Linked DNA regions of Oreochromis niloticus. The protein of the gene in region 1 interacts with the protein of each later gene in a pairwise test. Links are inferred from orthologs where the notes say so. Each region holds a gene or a part of one and is shown in the gene's direction. Other genes may lie near its edges. The genes, in order: lrrc7 and ribosyldihydronicotinamide dehydrogenase [quinone]-like.

What was found.
Region 2: the proteins of lrrc7 (region 1) and ribosyldihydronicotinamide dehydrogenase [quinone]-like interact in a two-hybrid assay, tested with the Homo sapiens proteins (2 studies listed by BioGRID). The two-hybrid records come from large-scale screens. The link is inferred for Oreochromis niloticus from reciprocal best matches to the Homo sapiens genes LRRC7 and NQO2.

What each region holds. Positions count from the first base shown.
Region 1 is NC_031981.2:32,125,826-32,136,400, reverse strand, and holds the start of lrrc7 (leucine-rich repeat-containing protein 7), read left to right. Parts: upstream 1-6,215; 5' UTR 6,216-6,770; coding exon 6,771-6,795; intron 6,796-10,575.
Region 2 is NC_031973.2:10,522,875-10,533,177, reverse strand, and holds ribosyldihydronicotinamide dehydrogenase [quinone]-like, read left to right. Parts: upstream 1-5,818; 5' UTR 5,819-5,967; coding exon 5,968-5,971; intron 5,972-6,121; coding exon 6,122-6,286; intron 6,287-6,365; coding exon 6,366-6,496; intron 6,497-6,576; coding exon 6,577-6,684; intron 6,685-6,759; coding exon 6,760-6,861; intron 6,862-6,937; coding exon 6,938-7,186; 3' UTR 7,187-7,838; downstream 7,839-10,303. UniProt on the Homo sapiens protein: The enzyme apparently serves as a quinone reductase in connection with conjugation reactions of hydroquinones involved in detoxification pathways as well as in biosynthetic processes such as the vitamin K-dependent gamma-carboxylation of glutamate residues in prothrombin synthesis.

The sequences.
Region 1 (10,575 bases):
CACCCACTGTCACCTTGACTCAAAACTGTGACCTTAAAGTAAGATAACTGGTACTCTCAAGGATTGAAACACAAACTGATCCTTATAAAGATGTAACAGTCCACAGTTTTGTAGATATGACCCAGCGCTGCAATAAGAAATCCATGTCCACTTTGTATAATTCATTAGAGCCAGAGTTTGGACACCACTGATAAATCTACTGTATCAACAGAGCTGGGAATCCTGCCATTGTGTTATTATGGGCACCATTGTGTTATTTGTGGATAGCACTCCTAGAATAAACTCAAGGTGTTTAAGGAGCTGCAATCTGGTGCCAAAAATAGGCAAGCTCTCTAAATGTACAGCTTTGTGACCTATGTTTATAGCAGATGCGTGCGTGGCTTTCTAAACCAGGGTGGCCCAAAATAACCCCTGTGGGCAAAATCAGCTGAATCCAAAGTGCCTGAAATAGGACCTGTGGGCAAAAATTGGCTCTCATAGACTGAGTTTGGCCCACCAAAGTGTTACACTGGGTGCAAAATGCAGCATCTCTCATTTATTTTCTTTAAAACTGACATTTCCTCTGAGTTATTTGAAAGCAAGCTTTCTGTAACCTTTCCAAATAACCCTTTGTGAAAACTTGGGTCTAAAATGACTTTTAAATGTTACAGTAAAAATATATATCCAGAGATGCCACTTCAGGTTTTTGACTGCAGTGTTTTATCTTTTACAGTTTTAAAACATTTTGTCTGCAACTGAAGGATGCTTTTCTTGTATTTGCAAACTACAGAGAAGTTCATGTACTCCCTTTTTTTTCTCCTGTTTTAGAAAGTCGGGCTGACATTAAGTAAAAATAAAAAACTGTTAAGAAGACGAATTATATAAAGGGATGCCTATAGGAAGGACTTCCTTGTATGAAGTATCTGACCTTAAGTGGTTTATTTATCCACCTTTTTTGGCTGGAGCTGCTTGACTAGCTTAGCCGCCAGTCTGTGACCATCTGGTAACCACCGGAAAAATGTGTATTCCCTGACTGGATGGTCAGCGTTTGCTGAAGGTTGCTGGCAGTCACTGTGAAACTGATTGCTAGAGCTCCATGCATCTACGCCCGGCGACTGCTCTAGTAACCCTAGTAACAGTGACCCAGGTTACTAGGGCCTCAGAGGTTGCTAGGGAAAAATGTGCGTTTTGAAATGTGTTGGTTTCCTCATCACCGAAGCAATCAAAAAGGACATTTCTGATGCATCTCTTTGGTGACTGATTTCACTTGGTTAAAGCCAGCAACTACTACCAAATGGTGGGGAATCCCAATTTTCCTCTAGTCACCGGAGGTTGCCAGAAGGCTGACAGCTGGTCTATAGGCCTATGTGACTGTGTGAGGTCTTAACTGGACGCTATATACATCCAAAAGTCTTGATAATGTCCTCTTTTATGATCCAGCATGCAGACTGTCAAGATCTACCCCCAGTTTGTGTGATTGATGTCATCCTTCCTCAGGTTTTTGTCTCAGTAGGCCAATTTGTTTTCTTGTGGCCACCATAAACTCAAACATCCTCAACAAGGTGCCACATACTTACTGGACATAGCCTCCTCTAACTTCTCTGTTTTACTGCACATTATTATTCTTCACAGCAACATGGAAGGAAGTCCCTTTGTGTTAAAACAGAGGGACAGATGTGAGGTCAAAGAGATACTTGATACCCAGCTGATGGGCACCCGCCTTGAACAACTTTGGGTGGTTTTAAAACACTTCTCACCTTGTTTTGTAGAGATGGTCAGCACAGTACATTTAAGATATTATTGCCATCTGGCAGCTAAGCAGTATGATCTTGATGTTCCTATTGACAGCTGGACTTGTAAGCAGTGATCTTCACTCCTCTCCAGCGCTCCCATTCTCTATGAAGAAATGGAGCTTGTGTCTCCATCTTACCAATCTCTTTTGTCTGGAGCAAGTATTAACGTCATTTTTTTAAAAGGGAAAAAACCCAAATCATTTCCAGGATGGAACAGCTCACAATGATCACAAGCAATAACTGAAAAAAAGAAATAAAAAAGAAACACGCAGATGAAATAAATGGAAAAATATGAAAATGAATAGAAGCAACTGCAGCAGGCTGCACATACTGTACAGTTAGTGCATGTACACATTTTGTATTATCCATTTTTCATCTGGAGCTTTTTTAGTTTGCTTTGTTCATTTGCTTTTGTAATTGGCTATGTATCCACACCTGATTTTGTTTATAGAGTAGAGAAATTTGAGAGTTGTTATATCATTTTATAGATGTAGAAATTTAAAATGAAACCGTACCCAGTAAGGTCTGATTGATTGCCTCCATTTCTGTTTTTATTATATTTGTCCAATCTATTTGAACTGTTATCAATTTCAGATTATGCAGTGATTCAGATGTGACCCCAGATGTGGTTCCAGATGTGGAACAAGGCTATTAGAGGAGCACTTGTAGTAGTGATGCATTTAGGTTCTGACAGTCAATAGGCCCAAAACTGACTGTTGCTTATCTCTGTGTTTTAAAGGCAATGGTTATTATAACACAACACACTGTATATCTCATGCAACAATTGTGGGACATGCAACAAGCAGTCATGCAACAAGACTGCTGACTTGACAGTTGCCATGACAATCTTTAACACCCTCCTCCCTTCTGAGAGTAAGCCACAGGAGGTCATTCCTGCAAAGGCTGGCTGTTTGCAGAGTGCTGTATGGAAGCATATTGTTGGAATGTTGATGGGAACAACGTCCTGGTAGTAACAGGTGTTCAAGCAACAAAGATAACCAAAGCTTTGAGAGTATTGTCAAGGAAAGTTGACTGAAGAACTTGGGAGAGCTTCAGAAGGAGTGGACTGAGGCCTGGGGGGCCACAACAAACATAGGGCTTCAGGAAAGGTGCTACTGTACAACTGTCAGATTCCTGATATCAAGCCAGGCCTGAGTCACAGACACCGTCAGAAGCATTTATCTGGGAAAAAGCACAAGAACAGGATTTTTACTCAGTGGTTCAAAGTCCTTTGTTCACATAAAACTAAATTTTGTATTTCACTTGGAAATTGAAAATGGGAAACTTCATTGGAAATGAATGTCTAAGAGTACAGACCAAGCGTGGAGAGGCCGGTGTGAAGGTTCGGGGGCCTGTGATGTTTTGGGGTTCTGGTTTTGGTTGTGGTTGGTCCAAAGCTACCCAGCTACTGGGAGATTTTAGTGCACTTCATGCTTCCATCTGCTGACAAAACTTTATGGAGGTGACGATTTTGCTTTTCCAGCAGGCCGTAACACCTCCCCACAGCACCAACATTACGACCAAAGGGTTTGCTGACCATGATATTACTATCAGCAGACAGATATTGCCCTCGAGTGACCTCAACCTAAAAAAAATGAGTTGAAGGTGGCTATCAAAGCAGCCTGGGCTTAAATAACACCTCCGCATTGCCACAAAAGGATCACCTCTATGCCACCATGCACTGATATAGTAATTCATGGTAAAGTACTGCGTTTATAAACAAAAGTACTTTTCTTTTGTATGTGTGTGACTTTCATGAGCTATAAGCCATAACCATCAAAAGGAAACATAGCAAATATTTTGCCATATTTCACTTGTAAGGAGTATATTATACATCAAAGTTTACCTTGTTGTATTAAATAATGCAGAATAAAAATAACATTTTCACATTATTTTTATTTCTTCAGCTGCACGAGTACATATTCAGTGCTTTGAGTCTCAAAAGAGGAGCTGCTCACCATCCCTTCAGCAGTAGACTGTACTGTGTTTTTAAAATGTTTTTCCATTTGTGCTGTCATCCGTGTTCTAAAAGTAGACTTCTTTATTGTAGGATGTCCTCTTTTGAAAACAAAATTATCTAAAAAGCCTCTATATTTGGTGTCTGTTGTTGCCAGGCAACAAAAGACCCTGAACATTTTAAGCTATTTAACCAAATACTTAAAGGACTGACATGGAGTTAAAGTGGATGTGTAATGGGAAGGGAAAAAAGAAGGGCTAGAGAGAGGAAGATGACTAGCTGAGTGACAGGGTGACGGGCTGGCCGGCTTCCTGGTTTCTCGCAGACTGTTGTCAAACTCAGTCGATCTTGGAGAATCCCAGTGCTGCCATCTGGGTTTAACGGGAGCTTCATCCTGGCACTGCCTACTGGTACAGATGGCATAAGGATACTATGTCACTGTTACAGTAGACTTGAGTACAATAGAATGGAGCAGAGCTGCAAAGTCACAGGTCGGTTTAAGTCTTCAAGATTTACTGTATCTATATCTAATTTTTCCAGGGGCCAACATAATTACTCTAATTGTACTACTCCAGTGGTACTTGTTATCATGTTGTCATGACCTCCCACACAAGCAGTCCAGACCTGCAATGTAATTTATTTTACACAGTGTTTAAATTGATCGAAAACACATCCTGACTGTCGCTGATGTTTTGGAAAGAAGCTCCTAGCATTCGGATGATTGGGAAGAAGTATACTGAACTGCTATTAAAACATTCTAACACCCAATATCTAATCTTATTTATTTTACACCATTAAAATGGGTCTAATCTGTTGTATTTGATTATTGAATCCTATTTTATTCATGGATTTGACTTCCAGTAGGGCAGATCTGCAGGTATGAGTGCTCTTCTGCAGTAACATACATACCTCACTCACACAGCTGCACACCTAAAGCTGCCTACTGCAAATGCACTGTGTGATGCTGGTCTCTGAGCAGCCCCGCTGATGCTGTTGAGGGCAATAGAAATAAGGCAGGGACAGCTGCTGTCACCGTCCTTAGGCTAATTTGTCCTGATGTTCCTGTCACAGTCCTGCTTTTCAGATCTCAAACCAGTGCCTCGCTGTGTGGAATGATTTGCAGAGATGTAAAGTCCTGATTTAATCTGGGATTTTGGAAAATGACGATGCTCATCTTTGCTAAGCCGCATGAAACGTGCAGCTGAGGTGTAAAACTGCAGGCAACAGATTACACTTCAGAGTGAAACTCTGAGCTGAGACACAGGCGTACGTACAGGAAGTTTAGCTATTACTTCACTGCCAACCTGTTTGCACTTGTGTTGCCAAGACTGAAGAAAGTGGGCCTTTCTGTAAAGTGGATTTAAGCTCTGCTGAGTGATATTGAAATAAACAAATAGTATTGAATTGGCTCGTGCTGCCTGTGAATGAACTGATTAGACTTAGAAGCCTCAAAACAGCAGCCGACTCAGATGACTACTGAATGTAAGCAGCAGTTTGCACCACACTGAGCTCTGGGTAAGGCTGCTCACTTAGCATCCATCATGTCCTCCACAATGCCAGCAGGGTCCCCGGCTGCTTCCACCACTGCATCACATGTGTGGCTAGTCTTTGATGTTTGTGTGTCTTGTGTCGTGCCACTAAAGGCCAGTGAGTGTGGAGTCATCATTACCAACAGTTGTGCTGTGAAATTAAATAACGAGCAAGCAAGACTAGGTTAAGATTCAATGACAACGTGGCACCTTTGCCTTTCACAGTCAGATTTCACTTTGGATGCTAAAATTATGTTCAGGAGGAGGAGGGACACATTTATCACAGAGGCCAAAGATTTGTGTGTTTTTAGCAGGGTGGGGTCAGATACTGATAATCCTGGTGACTTGTCATATGTAATTTAAAGAAAAAGAGATGCTTGTTTGGAATGCAAATAGTTGCAGTATAACGCACAGCAGATAGCAAGTCATTTATAAATATAAGGACTGATGGATTACTACAGTCTGTTCATATTAACTTCACTAAAGGGCTTAATTGGTTTATCATTCTCTAATATGCCATCAAATCCAGTTATAAATACTACAAGTTGGTGATTGGTGGATTTTAGTCCAGGCTTATTTGGAGGACCTTTATAATTAAGTTAATAAGAATTTTTTTAACAACGTGGCAACTCATAATTGGTTCAAAATGACTTGTAGCGGAACTATAGGGTTAAAAGATAATTTATTAATAGTTAATAAGACATTATTACATCATATCATCCGTTAACAGACATTGCCTTATAAGAGCGTGGCGTTTGTTTAAAATAAACCTTTTCATTGAATATTATCTCTAATCGAAACCGGGCTATTTTTGCTCACTAAAGTAGAAAAAAAATCTCATAGGAAAAGATGGAGGCAGCATGGCAACAGTCTCAGAGACAAGCTCGACTTCACGTGCACGCGCACCTGCACAATGAGATAAAAGACGACTTCTCCTCCTTGCTCTCACAAACTCTCACCCGTGCGCGATTACCGCACACAGGCGCGCACATCCACGCGTCCTCGTTCCATCTTCATCTATCTTTCCTCCCCCCCTCTCTCTTTCTCTCTCTCTCTACGAGGGACGTATGGGAGGGGACGCTCGTGCTGAATGTGTTTTTTCTGCAGCGTGCTTTACGGTACCGGAGAAGAAGAAGGAGAAGCACGCCGCTCCCCTCCGTTGGTCACGGAATCGTTTGGTATTGTGACATTGCGCGCCTGCTTCTTATTTTCTAAATGGACCGAAGGGGATGTGACTGAAAGCAGTGTGTAGTCTGCGCGCGTGTAACCGACTTGGATTTAAACCTGACCCTGAGATGAATCACACTGCCCCGGTTGATGCGCTCATCTCCTCCGTCTTCTGGCTTCGGGGGCACTAAAAATGCGGCTGATAGCGCGGGTACCTGTCCTGGTTTCACACCGGTTCGGTTTGTCCCGATAGACTGATCTCGTCCGGTGCTGCGGTTTCCAAAGGGGCGAGCTGAGTGATTTTTTTTTCTTTCTTAACCGGATCCGTCACCAGTAGCCTGCCAGATGGATAACTACTCTACTTTACAACGTAAGGCGACAGTGAAAGACACATACCTGCTGCCGTAGCCCATTTCATGTTAAGTCTGTGCTAATGATGGAGTTCCCTAAATGAATAACCACATTAATCTGGGGATAGGAAAGACTGCAGCTGAAGTCTGATCTCACTGGATAAAAAAAAAGAAAAAAGAAATAACTTAAATAAATATTAAAATATCCTGTAAATGTCCACAGGAGGGACATTTGATGGTTTTCCCTCATGTTTTGTCATGACCATACATTTATCTTGGGCTGACATCACGTGACAACTTGAATGGCATTTTTCAGAATTTGGTGAGCTTTGCTACTGAGCATCTGAACAGCGGCACTGTACACCGTATTTAATAATTTGGCGCTTAAATGTAGGCACAAATTAAGCCCCTTCATCTTTTCATAGACACCCCCCACCCAGGGCCTTTGAAGCTCCGAGATGAGCTAATGAAACAACCATGACTGCAGGATCAGGGAGAGGTGGGGGTGTGTGGGGGGGATAACATATGATGCAGTGTCACATACCCTCTTGTCTTGACATGTAGCCCCCGGCCCTGCTGCCATTATAACGTCATGCTTTCATATAATGCACCACATTCACACCTGTTAAATCCACCACCTTGAGGTATGCTGTGCTTATTAGACTATCTGCACCATTATTTAGCTGTATCGGTTTGTCATGCTTGTTATGAGCCTGTAATGACAAAGGCTTATTAACCATCTGCCTAAATGGTTTATGGCTGCAGTTATGCACCTGTAGAAGGTTATGGCTTTTTATTAACTGGATCATAATTTTTACAGATACAAGCTCTAATTTGTTGTCCATGTCTCTTCTGTGTGTGTATGTATGTGACTTACAGGGCTGTAAACCAACAAAAAGGGCCCTTTTTCCCTTTTAAAATCAAAGAGAATATTTAATTCCAATCTCAACTGCATCATATTTTAAAGCTCCTCTGTCTTTGTTGCTCCTAAGATGGTTCTATTTATACACTCTTTTTCGACAGGGCTTTGAAGTCGCTGCTCAGTTTGGTGTCATTTTGCAAAAAAAGACTATTATGTGTTCAGCGCTGGTTTCTTTCTTTGGGCACACTGATCACAACAGCTTATATGCTGCATGTGTAATTCTCCAGACATGGAGAGTGATCTGCCACATCTTCAGGATACATGAGATATAGAATACCATGTAGATTTTTTTAAGGACTATAAAGTGATTTTTGAGAGATTGCCTGGTAGAAATGTGTACCAGTAATGGAATCTAATCAAGTACTTTATAGCCATGGATTGTATTTAACACCTGTATGTTGAAGATTACTTTTCAAACAAAACGTTCACTGAGACTTTTGAACACAAACCACTGGACTGATCAATAATTTTCAAGGGAACAATTCACAGGACTCAGTTACTGACAGATGGTTGTAAAACTGATATTTTTTTTCAAATAATAACAAAAAACTGACCTTGCAAACACTTCATAAAGTAGTTCACATCAGTTGATCTGTTATAATAAAACTCACACATTGATGAATCTCTGGTAATCACGTGTATAACCCCTTTTTGCATTTGAATCTTTGCTTTAAGTGCACATTGCTGCTCACACATTTCCTAAATTATCTCATGAATAGATAACAGAACACTTAGAGCAGTTTTCACTGTTTCCCTCTTTGTGGAATTTGTTTTCTCCTTTGAATGATGATCTGCCAGCTGTTAGCAACAGCTAGATTAGTCCAGTATTTAGCAGCTGCGACAGCTTGGTCGATATTGTTTTTACCTTGTGAGTCTGCATCTGTATGTTCGTGTCTTATCACACGAAAATATGGTCCTGGCTACATCTACCATAACAGGAACTACCATTTTGAGTACTTCTGCAGGTGTTTATGTGCCTATCTGTGGACAGGGTTTTTCAAGAATTGGTGTCATAACCCTGCAAGATGCCGTCGTGATAGTTTACAAGTAAGCAGCAGCCATGAAAATCAAGTTCAAAGATGGTTTTAGTTTGACCCGTGGGTAATGATTATTTTAAGAATGCACGGTGTGATGCCAATGCAAGATGGTCAATAGTCAGCAGCTTAATCAGTGGATCTTTTGATTATGGCTTGGTTCTTTAGAGTAATATTTTCAAGTAAACGGGCCAAACATTATCAAATTCCACCTTCTCAGTGTGAGAATGTGCTGCTTTTCATCATCTTATGGAAACAGCTTTTTGGTTTTTAGACTATTGCTTAGGCAAATCTGTGTTTTTATGGCTGTCTGTTACAGCTGAGCCAAAGAATAATCTGTCAGTTGTCGTAATAAATAGCCATCTCATTTATACTGAAAACCCTAATTATTTATTAATGTACTTTATGGTTGGTACTTAATCCCTTGTCTTTGGCATTTGGTGGTTCCCGTTTCTGAGAAATTCTAAAGACAGAAGGTTTTTACATCTGAGCACTTAGTGGTGGTGGAAGTAATAATATTCAGGTAACTGCAATCTTGTCATCATCAGTTTTCCGTATTACTTACATTTAAACCCATCTATAGATGTACTCATTTTGTCAGTCTAAATTAAGCATGCCTAGTACCGAGGCCTCAGATCTAAGAAATGATAAATGCATTAACATTTCCTCTTCAAAGAGCAAACTTGCATACAGATAAAGAAGGATGAGGGGCTCAGTCTTCTACTGCTGCTCCACTTTAGCTCTGACAGGACACTGCTGTTCCTTGCTGCTGCTGCTGCTGCTGATGATGCTGCTGGTTGCCTAGTGACTGTATCCATGGAACCGGCTCCCATCGTCATGGTGATGGGCCAAGGGAGAGAGACCCAGTGAGGGAAGGGGGACAGAGATACCAGTACATCTGCAGTCTGTGCTACGACGATGAGGATGAATTGTGATATCATGAAGGATGATGATGATGAAGACTGTAATGCTCTGATTGCGATATACTGGTGTTTTCAGATGTAGTGATACCACTGAAAAGCATGGAGAGGCTAGTTTAAAGCAGAGAAAATGGTCACGTGGTTGCCAAAATATGAATGATATGTCAAGGCAGTGGCTAAATGTAAAAGCCGTACTGCTATCCATGGATGGTTGGATCGATGGGTAGATGGTCTATAATAGAGTTGCAATAATTATCAGAGCTTAATTAGCAAGATTAACCTCGAACTATATTCTTAATATATTTATTAAGGTAATTTCATAAACAATCATATTATGGCTAGCTGGCTGAGCACATGTTTGCTAGTATTGTTGAAAGGAAATCTTTGTTGTACATTTTTACTTTGTTCCATTAAATTATTTACAGGCGGCTAAAGCATTACTGTTTGATATAGATCTAACAGTATCATTGTATTACAATATACATTGGGTGGTGGAGGATATTTGCCAAGATAGCCATTGAAATGAGATATAATTTTTCTAGTGCTAAGATTAGCAAGCAAGATACAAGCAAGATAGCAGGTTCATCTATCTAGCTGCAACTTAACTACACAGCACAAATCCACTGTTATCCACTTAAGACTTTATTTTGCTTTGTAAGGTAGTTTCCAGTTCATCTGTGTTAGCAGTGATGCTAGCATTAGCTAATATTAGCTAGAAGATAAAATATCTTCTAAAAACAAAGCAATACCACCATGTATCTAATGCCCTGCTTATGTCAGCCGCAGCTTTACCTGATAGCCAACTTCCTGAAGCTCAGAGAGGCTTTGTTAGATAAAACTGGCTACCCTTCTGAGTTATGTTAGTTAACTTTGGCCTAGCTGCTAAGGTGGCTAATGGAGCCAATCGATTTATTGGCAGGTCGA
Region 2 (10,303 bases), on another chromosome or scaffold:
TTACATATTTCAAACTTTTAAGTTAGGAAAAACTTTGCATTGCTTATAGCTCATAGCTCACAGCTCTAAAACTCGTCATTGTTAAATCATGTGCCTAATCATTATGTGTCACTGTGATCCACAAGTATGATCACAAATTTGTTTTCCAAACTTACAAAACAAACAAACAAAAACAAAAACAAATTGCCTATGGCATCAAGGCTTTGCGTTCATATTAATTGAGTGTAAGCTGCATTCTTCATTGCAAGTGTTTATTGCCATAAGGTTTAATTCATGCATCATATCACTGAGTTCTAAGTTCAAACTATCTCTTCTGACCCTTTCCAGAAATAATTTCACATATAACAATTTGAGTATGTGTTGTCTATTCATTCTATTCATAGAGTCTATTCATAGAGTCTATTCATAGAGTTCTGTTTCTCTCTGTGAGCTGTCTTGACACACCACAGGCACACATATATATTTATACATATTTCCTGTTTCTGCAGACTAATCGAACTCTTTTGTTTTTCTTTGTATTCATAGTCTATAAACCCTCTTTAATTCTACTAAATCTTGATCTAAAACCAACACACCTTTATTTCACACACACTTTTTAAATTGAGCTCTTTCAGACATCAGGAATCATCACACACACTGCCTTTTTCTCTCAAACTGCCACTTGTTCACACACTCTACTATGAACCTTTGTAGCGTTATTATTACTTATGTTTTATTATTTTTTGTACAAATCACACCCAATCACTCAAAACCTACTACTCACAGCATTTACACAGTTAAAATCACTCAAAATATGCTTTCATACGAGTATTTCAGACATGCTTTTCAAGATATATAGAGGTCACTCACTGTACATCCACAGTACTGAATTCAAACTCTATTTATACGATTGTAGTGAGCAAAACCAGCATCTCCATGCGTGTCACCGCTCCTCATTAGCTTGGTAGTGTCCACATATTTAATTCAGTTTCTCATTAGTTGTTAGTATAGGTTTGCTCTTCATCCTAACAAAGTCTCATCTAAGATGACAGGTTTACAAGCAGGTCAAGTGTCTCTATGCACCTGATTAGTGTAGTTAATTCCTTATTTTCTTCATCTCATATATCATCATTGTACTGAGTTTGAGCAAACCTTGAGCTTGAATCAGACTACTTTTAACAATCATTCACCTCATATCATAACTGACTGAGGTGCCTCTTCCTACTAATAGTATATCATTATTAATATTATCATTGTATTGTTTTTCCTTTTTTATAACAGCAAGAGTATATTACAATACACTACTTCACTACTTTACTACTAATATACAATAGTATATTAGTTTATATTTTATTATGTATCCATCACGGGTCTGTGTGAATCTGCAGCTTCACACCTTCCCAAGCTGGAGACATTTTCCTTGGCTGAACAATGACACAGCCTTAATATACCTTATGCATACCCCAACCGGTCGCAGCAGATGGCCGCCCCTCCCTGAGCCTGGTTCTGCCGGAGGTTTCTTCCTGTTAAAAGGGAGTTTTTCCTTCCCACTGTCGCCAAAGTGCTTGCTCATAGGGGGTCATATGATTGTTGGGTTTTTCTCTGTATTTATTATTGTGCTATCTACTGTACAATATAAAGCGCCTTGAGGCGACTTTTGTTGTGATTTGGCGCTATATAAATAAAATTGAATTGAATTGAATTGAATCTCTCTTTTTTATTTGATATATTTTGTGTGAATTATCTGGTTTCACGCATTCTATTCATTCAGCTTGGTTGTCTTCCCAATTTTGTTTCATTGTTAATACCAGTTTACAGGTTGTTAACCTTCCTATTATCTCCTATTATCATGCTTATCACTAGATAAGCTTTGCTTTAATTTAAGTTAACCTTAATTTAACCTTTTGTTTATTCCACTTCATTCCACTTTCCATGCTTTAAAATGTTACAACTCTTGTGTATGCTTTGATTTCTTTTTAGCTTCCTTTTCAGTATTTATTTCTGCTTGGAGGGTTTCTTATAATTTAGTTAATGCATTTTCCCTCCCACGTGGGACATTTAGTTTTCTTTGGATTTCTCCATCTATATGCACTAATTTGTCCGGCGCCTGGACATTTCTTTTCTAACCACTGCTCGTCAGCAGTGAGTTACCCATTTTAATCCTCTTATTTTTAATTTTAATACTTTACAACTACACAACTGCGGCACCTTCTCTGGCACGAGAATCGAGAGAGGTAGTTGACACGGCCTTCTACTTTCAAGCTATTCTTGAAAGCGGTGTCAACACGACCTGTTTCTCTCTTTTCACCAGTACTTGGGTGGCCAACAGCAAACAAAACAGTGGAATAGTTCAGCCTCCTTATTGTGCTGTAAAATCAACAAATCAACTTATTCCACCAACAAAAACAAAACAACAACAATACCTTTTCAACGCGTGCTACGTCTTACGGACCAGGTTTATCTAAAATAGCTTCTAGCCCCTTTTTCAGGCGAGCGTTTACTTTTAGGAATGCTACCAGCCCCTCTGGGCGAGCCGAGCCTAGACGTTTTACGCGAGGTGTCTGAGTGTTAATATTCACCTGGTTGCTGATTCACTGCCGGTCTCTCAGGTTTACCTCATCGACCCCCACCGCCGTGGACCACTTATAAGAACGCTGGCCAGAACCCGAATGTCACGTCTCTGGACTTTATATCCTCTACCTAGAGAGGAGCTGTCAACAGACTTCAGCGCGGGCTTCTCACGACGTCAGGGCTCGATGAGGTTTTCCTGTGGGGTCACACAAAAGTGCTGTGTCCCATCCGGCTCGAAGGACCAAGAAATGTCAGGAGTTTTCCTGTTATGCAACTCAGGTCGGAATAAAACGCTCAGACAGGTTTAACGTGTACACGGTCGAGGCTCAGGGAGACTCGCACTGTGCAATAAAAAGAAAGAGTCTTTATTCAGAGAGCACATACAGGAAGAGAGAAAATAGAACTGCAGGCTTCCTGTGTAACTTCCCCATTTAGGAGTCTGCACAGAGTTGCAGAGTTTAAGCTGAATACTGAAAAGAGCAAACACATTTAGATAATGAAACGTACTTTTAAGCATAACATAATAAAAATCCCAAAATCCTAAAAAATCTCTTAACATAGCTTATAAGCCTTAGCTCACATCCTTTGTCTCTGTTATTCCTACAAGCTGTCAGCCTAAAAACATTAGATCCAGTGATGTTTGTTTGGATATGGAAAGTAAGAGAAAACAGAAATTAAATGCCAGTTTACACTTAGTTCTTTAGTTTGACTAAGGAGCTTGGAAAGTAAATACTTTAATTTTCATGAAGGTGTTTCACCTCTCATCTGAGAGGCTTTTTCTGTTTTTAAATCAAATGGTGGAAAATCACAGCTATTTAAACCATAATGAGAGTTGACTCCTCTTTAGTTTGTTCTTTACCTCATGAGAAATGCTCATGACAAAGAAAATCATGTAGGCAGCTGCAACCGATATCAAAAGTATTTACTTCTTTTTTTTCAAAGATAACCACAATTCATTCAGGAGAGAAGATGTCAGTGGCAGGACTAGAAAATGTTTTCCGAAGTAAACCAGTTCATGTGTCCAACCTCTGAGCTTTTCCCTGCCACCTGTTAGTCCTGCAAATCCATCACATGAGAATCTAGCAAGATTTAGCCAATCATGTGCTCCTCCACTACCAAGAACTGTAGAAGCCAATCATCTCCCACTGCACCTACTAGGATTTGACCAATCATTGTTATGACTACCAAGAATGCCGCCAGGATTTGCTCCCCAAATACAGGTAGATCCTGATTGGCATCAATACTGTAATTAAGTCTGTTAAAGTTTATAGTATAAAAACATTGAGAAGTATTGAAATTATTTTTTCCCATACACCTATTGAATGAAGGGAGAAAGGAATAAATGCTGTGTGCATGTGCTCCAGTGGCGCAATCGGTTAGCGCGCGGTACTTATATGACAGTATTGGGCTGAGCAATGCCGAGGTTGTGAGTTCAAGCCTCACCTGGAGCACAAACTTTGAGCTAATGTTTATCTGCCAAGACCAGATAAATACTGAGCACACTAAAAATGCCAAACAATTTTCTAGTCTCTTTAAAAATGAGCAACATGCAAAATAAACATTAAGAAAACCAGAATTATACCTCTGTATGTTTGTCCTGCTAGTTTTGTTTCTGTTTATTTTCAATGGGAGCTGTTAACCATCGAGATAGGGACATTCTTCCAAAGTCAGAGAAATTTGGCTGTGTGTGTATGTGTGTGTACCTTTTATGTCCTTATGTATAGTTTATACCAATGATTCCCACACTGCAGGGCGTAAGGCAAGTCATTGGTTCGCCAAGTTGGGCAACAATCACCATGGGAAAATGATGTCTGTGAAACTGAGATGATTATGATTAGATGAGGTATATATTAATCTTGTGTTTAAACTGGGCTGAAGGTTTAGGTTAATCTCAAGAGTTTCCATACAAAATGAGAAACCTGAGAGAAATTCTTCTTCTACTTCTTTATAGGGTTTATTGGCAGTTGGCTGTGTTGTTCTCATTGTACATGCTACCTTTGGTCTATATTTGACAAATATAACATTTCTTTTCATTTTTATGCTGATGGTATTCAAATCTATTTTTGTCTGACTGACGATACCACGTCTTCACTACGCTGTTTTCTTGATTGTATGAGGGAGATCAAAGGCTGGTTATCGAGTAACTCCCTTTTTCTAAATGAAAAGAAAACAGAAATTATTGTCTTTGATAGCCACATCCCTCGGGGACAATTAGCTGATATATTTGGGCCCTTCGCTACCTCCCTCTTTGATACAGTACGTAACTTAGGTGTGCTTTTGGACAGCTCCTTTAAACAAGTGTCTTCTGTAGTACAGTCTAGCTTTTACCAACTACGACAAATATCTAAGGCTAAGCATTAAATACCACGAATGGATCTTGAAAAACTTACACATACATTTATTACTTCAAGATTAGACTACTGCAACTCCCTTTATCTGGGCCTCCAATCTGCCCTTCTTCATAAACTACAACTTGTCCAAAATGCAGCGGCACGCCTTTTAACTGGTACTAGAAGGTTTGATTCTATTACCCCGATCCTTGCTGACCTACATTGGCTGCCCATGAAATATCGGATTGATTTTAAGATTTTATTGCTTTCATTCAAAATCGTAAATAATATTGCGCCTTGCTATTTAACTGAACTTCTCAGCCTGTAAACTCATAGGAGAGCACTTCGATCATCGAGTCAAATGCTCTTGGTGCAACCTAGGTCCCGGCTGAAAACCAGAGGTGATCGTGCCTTTGCCATTGCTGCACCTAACCTCTGGAACAGTCTTCCAGCTGATATTCGCGCGTCGGAATCTATTCAATCTTTTAAAACAAGATTGAAAACTTATTTATTTGAGCTTGCATTTTAGATTAGTTAGTGATTTATTGGATGTACACTTTGTACTTTTATTGCATTTTTTTGTAATTTTAACCTATTGTGTTAGTGGGTTTTTCCAGTTGATATTTCTGTGTTGATTTTACCTAACTTTTACACGAGGTGTGAAATATTTCTTTTAACATAGTACTCACGGGTTAAGTGGTGCTTTTTTTTGTCTGGAAATGTATTTCTACTCTACTATAGTACCCATATGTAATTAATTTTATTTCATATTTTACTACTGAGAAGCACTTTGGTGTACCTCTGGTCTTTAAATGTGCTATATAAATAAAGTATTGATTGATACTTATTGATTGGCAAACAGCAAAATGGTGCATTACTGCCACCAACTGGTCTGAGAGAAATTACCCCAGTACCAGCTGGCTGACTCATGAGGTTTATTGCTGATTGACAGCACCTGTGTGAAGTAGTGCTTGAAGTGTGTATAAAAGCAGCAGACTGTGTTTTGCTCCAGTATAGACATATTTTTCTGTTGTTATACCAGCTAGACAGAAAACTCACAATTTACTATTGTGCACCAGTTTTGAGAATGGGTAAGAATTTTTCTTCCTAGTAATTGCTAAAACTTGTTTGGCCAAAGCTGATAATCTTTGACAAGAAGAGTGAAAGGTTTCTGTGCTGACTGGAACTTTATCAAAACTTGTATTATTTTTTTTTTTTTAATTTATTTTTTGGCTTTTCAGCCAAGAAGGTGCTGATTGTGTATGCCCATGAGAGCCCTGCCTCTTTCAATGCTGCTGCCAAAGATGCTGCTGTGGCAGCTCTGACTGCTCAAGGCTGCACTGTAGAGGTGTCTGACCTGTACGCCATGAAGTTCAAAGCTGCTGCTACTACTGAGGACATCACTGGTATACAAATATCCTGCAGGTATAGCAATGCTTTGGCTTTGATTGTTCTTCAGATACAAAGACTGGATTTTTGTCACAGGTGGAGTGAAGAATGCTGAGAACTTCTGCTACGCAAAGGAGATCAAACTGGCATCAGAGGAGGGCAGACTTGCAGATGACATCAAAAAAGAGCAGGAGAAGCTCAAGGAGGCAGACCTTGTCATCTTTCAGGTAGTGTCTGACTAGAAATGTCTTTGTGATCGGCTGACAGGTGTCCACATTAAAAATGACCATTAAACCTGTGTTCCCAGTTCCCCATGTACTGGTCATCTGTTCCTGCAATCATGAAGGGGTGGATGGATAGGGTGTTGGGCTTTGCCTACGCACAGGAGAAGCGGTACAGTGAGGGGCTCTTCAAGGTGAGAGCTCCACCAACGTGTGTGTGTTCAGGCTGTGTCCTCTCCCTCTTTGCTCACTCCTTGCTCTCTGTGCAGGGCAAGAAAGCCATGCTGTCCTTCACCACTGACTGTCCTGAATCTGTGTACAGTGACACTGGCATCAATGGTGACATCAATGTCACACTGTGGCCGCTGCAGGTGAGGTCTCACTATAAACAGAGCCAAGCATTAAATGATCTGTCATGTGGTAACAGCTGCTCCTCCCTGTGTGCAGAACGGGATCCTGAACTACTGCGGCTTCCAGGTTTTTGACCCTCAGATCTTCTGGGATCCTGCTACTGGTTCTCCTGAATCTCGCAGGTCCATGCTGGAGGGCTGGCGCACACGACTGCAAACCCTCGGTGGGGAAGTACCTGTGTACTTTGCTCCCTTGGACTACTTTGACAAGGAGAAGGGTTTCCTGCTGAAGCCTGAGGTCAAAGAGAAATATGCCACAGCGGGAAGGCTATGTTCTACATGCTAATGCAAATCCCTATTCTGATAAGAACGTGTGTTTGGGGGGGGGGGGGGCGACCGTACACAAAGGTTGAAAGCAAGCCCAAAAAGACTTACAACAGACTGCTACTGCAGATCAGGTGACTGCAAGCCTCATTGCTCCTCACTGCCTATGCTACAGGCTTTGGCTCGGTTTGGCATGAACGCAGCTTTAAGATCTCGCTTTTAGCAGTATGTGTTCTTTCCGTCCTAGTGGAGTTTACTCTTTACCATTGCCTTTTTGTGAGGTAAAAATGTGTATCGCCACTGTGGGCTCATCCACGATTTTCCTCCTCCTACACATGAACTTAAATCAGCTGACTGTGGTGCGAGTGCACAGGAAGAGTAAAGCATGTGTAATATTTAAAGATTTTGTTTTTCCTTTTCCAATATTTGTTCTGAAGGCTTTTCAGCATTTCTATTCACCTGGCATGCAAATAACTGAAAAACCTTTAGGATCTAATGACACTACTGTTTATTTAATTTAGTATAACAGTGTTACTACTTCTTCATCACTGCACAAACTAAGATCATTACAGGAACATGTTGCATTGTCAAGCGTTACACCTAATGCTGAACATCTGTAAGTCATATATTACTGAGCACTGGTTAAATAAAAACATTTGCAACACAATAGAAAACATGTCCTAAGTACGTCAGTTCATGGTTCTAACCTCTGAGCTGCTCCCTGCCACCGGTTAGTCAAGCAAATCCATCATGTGAGAGCCAATAGCTTTACTTATCTACCAAATTCAAGAGTTATCCAATCATGTGCTCCTCCACTACCAAGAACTGTAGAAGCCAATCACCTCTCGCTGCACCTACCAGGATTTGACCAATCATTGTTATGGCTAGCAAGTACGCTGCAAGGATTTGCTCCCCAAATATAGTGAGATCCAGATTGGCATCACTACTGTAATTAAGTCTGTCAAAGTTTATAGTCTAAAAACATTGAGAAGTATTGAAACGATGGGCTTTTCCTGCAGTGGCAGCAAGCTAACTGTACTGAAGGCTAATCAACATTTATGTCGTTAACTTAGCTACTTTTTAAAAAGTAGGAGCCAAGGAAGTCAGAATAGCAAATTTAAATGCATGAAAGTTGATCAAATAGTACAGTTAACTGCTTCTAAAACATTACTGGGAAATAGTATAACAGAGAGGCAAATTTTATTTGAGGCAAAGCACATTTATATGAAAAGAAGTAGACACAGACTTCATGAAAACTGCAGTTTTCATTCATTTAATTTAGTTTTGCTAAATGGAAGTTCATGATATTGCGGTAGAATACAGGGATACAGAGTCTTTATTGCCACATGGTTCAATTCTTTATCCATTAGTTCCATATCTATTAGGTAAAATACACAAAACTACGAAAATTAAAGAATAAAAGTGAAATATGAAAAAAGGGAAACAGAAATGATCTGAAACAAATGTGTACTGACTGAAAAAAAAAAACATTTGTAACATAGATGTATAGAAAAAAAGACTGATTTCCCACATATATTAATGGATGCTGTAACAACCCTTATTGTATTATAGCACCACTAAAGGGGGTGCCCTACTATTGTAGTAGTTGGGGGAGTCCCCTAGTGGGTGTGGGAGTATAGCGGTGGCCGTTACATGCTGCTCGCGTCGCTGTTCAGAGAAACCTTGTAACGGGCTGGCGCCGGCGACTACCGATCCCGCACGTGTATGTATAGACAGAGTAGAGACGTGGAGACCTGGCTTGTATGGTCTTATGTTCAAATAAAGGTCTGTTGTTCGATTTAACTGACTGGCTCCGAGTTGTCCGGCTAACCTCCACACCACATGCCCGCTGGACCTGCTAGCCACTACTTCTTCGCCAGACTGCGGTTACAATGCATCTATCGATTAATCCTATATATAGTCATAGACTACAAGCATGAGATTTGTTGAAATATAATAGAGTGTAAAGCGTTTGTTCTATAAGTGACTGACCCCCCTCCCCCTTAGATCAGTTGAGTGAACTGAGAAAGGAATAAAGGCTTTGCACATGTGCTCTAGTCGCGCAATCGGTTAGCGCGCGGTACTTATATGACAGTATTGGGCTGAGCAATGCCGAGGTTGTGAGTTCAAGCCTCACCTGGAGCAGAGACTTGAGCTAATATTTAACTTCTGAGAACAGATAAATGCCAAGCCAACATTTGAAGATACTTTGAAAGCATCATAAAAAATGAGCAACATTCAAAATAAAGGTTAACAAACTCAGAATTATATCTTTCTTCTGCTACTTTTTTGTCAACCAATAGTTTTTCCTTCAAGGTCAAAGAATTTTGGCTGTTTGTGTGTGTATGTGTGTGTACCTTTTATGTCCTTATGTATAGTTTATACCAATGATTCCCACACTGCAGGGCGTAAGGAAAATCATTGGTTCGCCAAGTTGGCCAACAATCACCATGGGAAAATGATGTGTGTGAAACTCAGATGATTATGATTATATGAGGTATATATTCCTCTTGTGTTTAAACTGGGCTGAAGGTTTAGGTTAATCTCAAGAGTTTCTTCCACCAGTTTCCATACAAAATGGGAAACCTGAGAGATTTTACCCCAGTACCAGCTGGCTGAGTCATGAGACTGATTGCTGATTGACAGCACCTGTGTGAAGTAGTGCTTGAAGTGAGTATAAAAGCAGCAGACTGTGTTTTTGCTTCAATATGAGTAGTTTTTTCTTTTACTACATTAGTTAGTCAGAAAACTCATCATTTACTATTGTGTGCCAGTTTTGAGAATGGGTAAGATTTTTTTCTTCCTGGTAACTGCTGAAATCTGTTTGGCCAAAGCTGATAGTCTTTGACAAGAAGAGTGAAAGGTTTGTACGATGACTAGAACTTTATCAGAACTTCTATTTTTTTAAATTTAATTTTTGATTATGCAGCTAAGAAAGTGCTGATTGTGTATGCCCATGAGAGCCCTGCCTCCTTCAATGCTGCTGCCAAAGATGCTGCTGTGGCAGCTCTGACTGCTCAAGGCTGCACTGTAGAGGTGTCTGACCTGTACGCCATGAAGTTCAAAGCTGCTGCTACTACTGAGGACATCACTGGTATACAAATATCCTGCAGGTATAGCAATGCTTTGATTGTGCTTC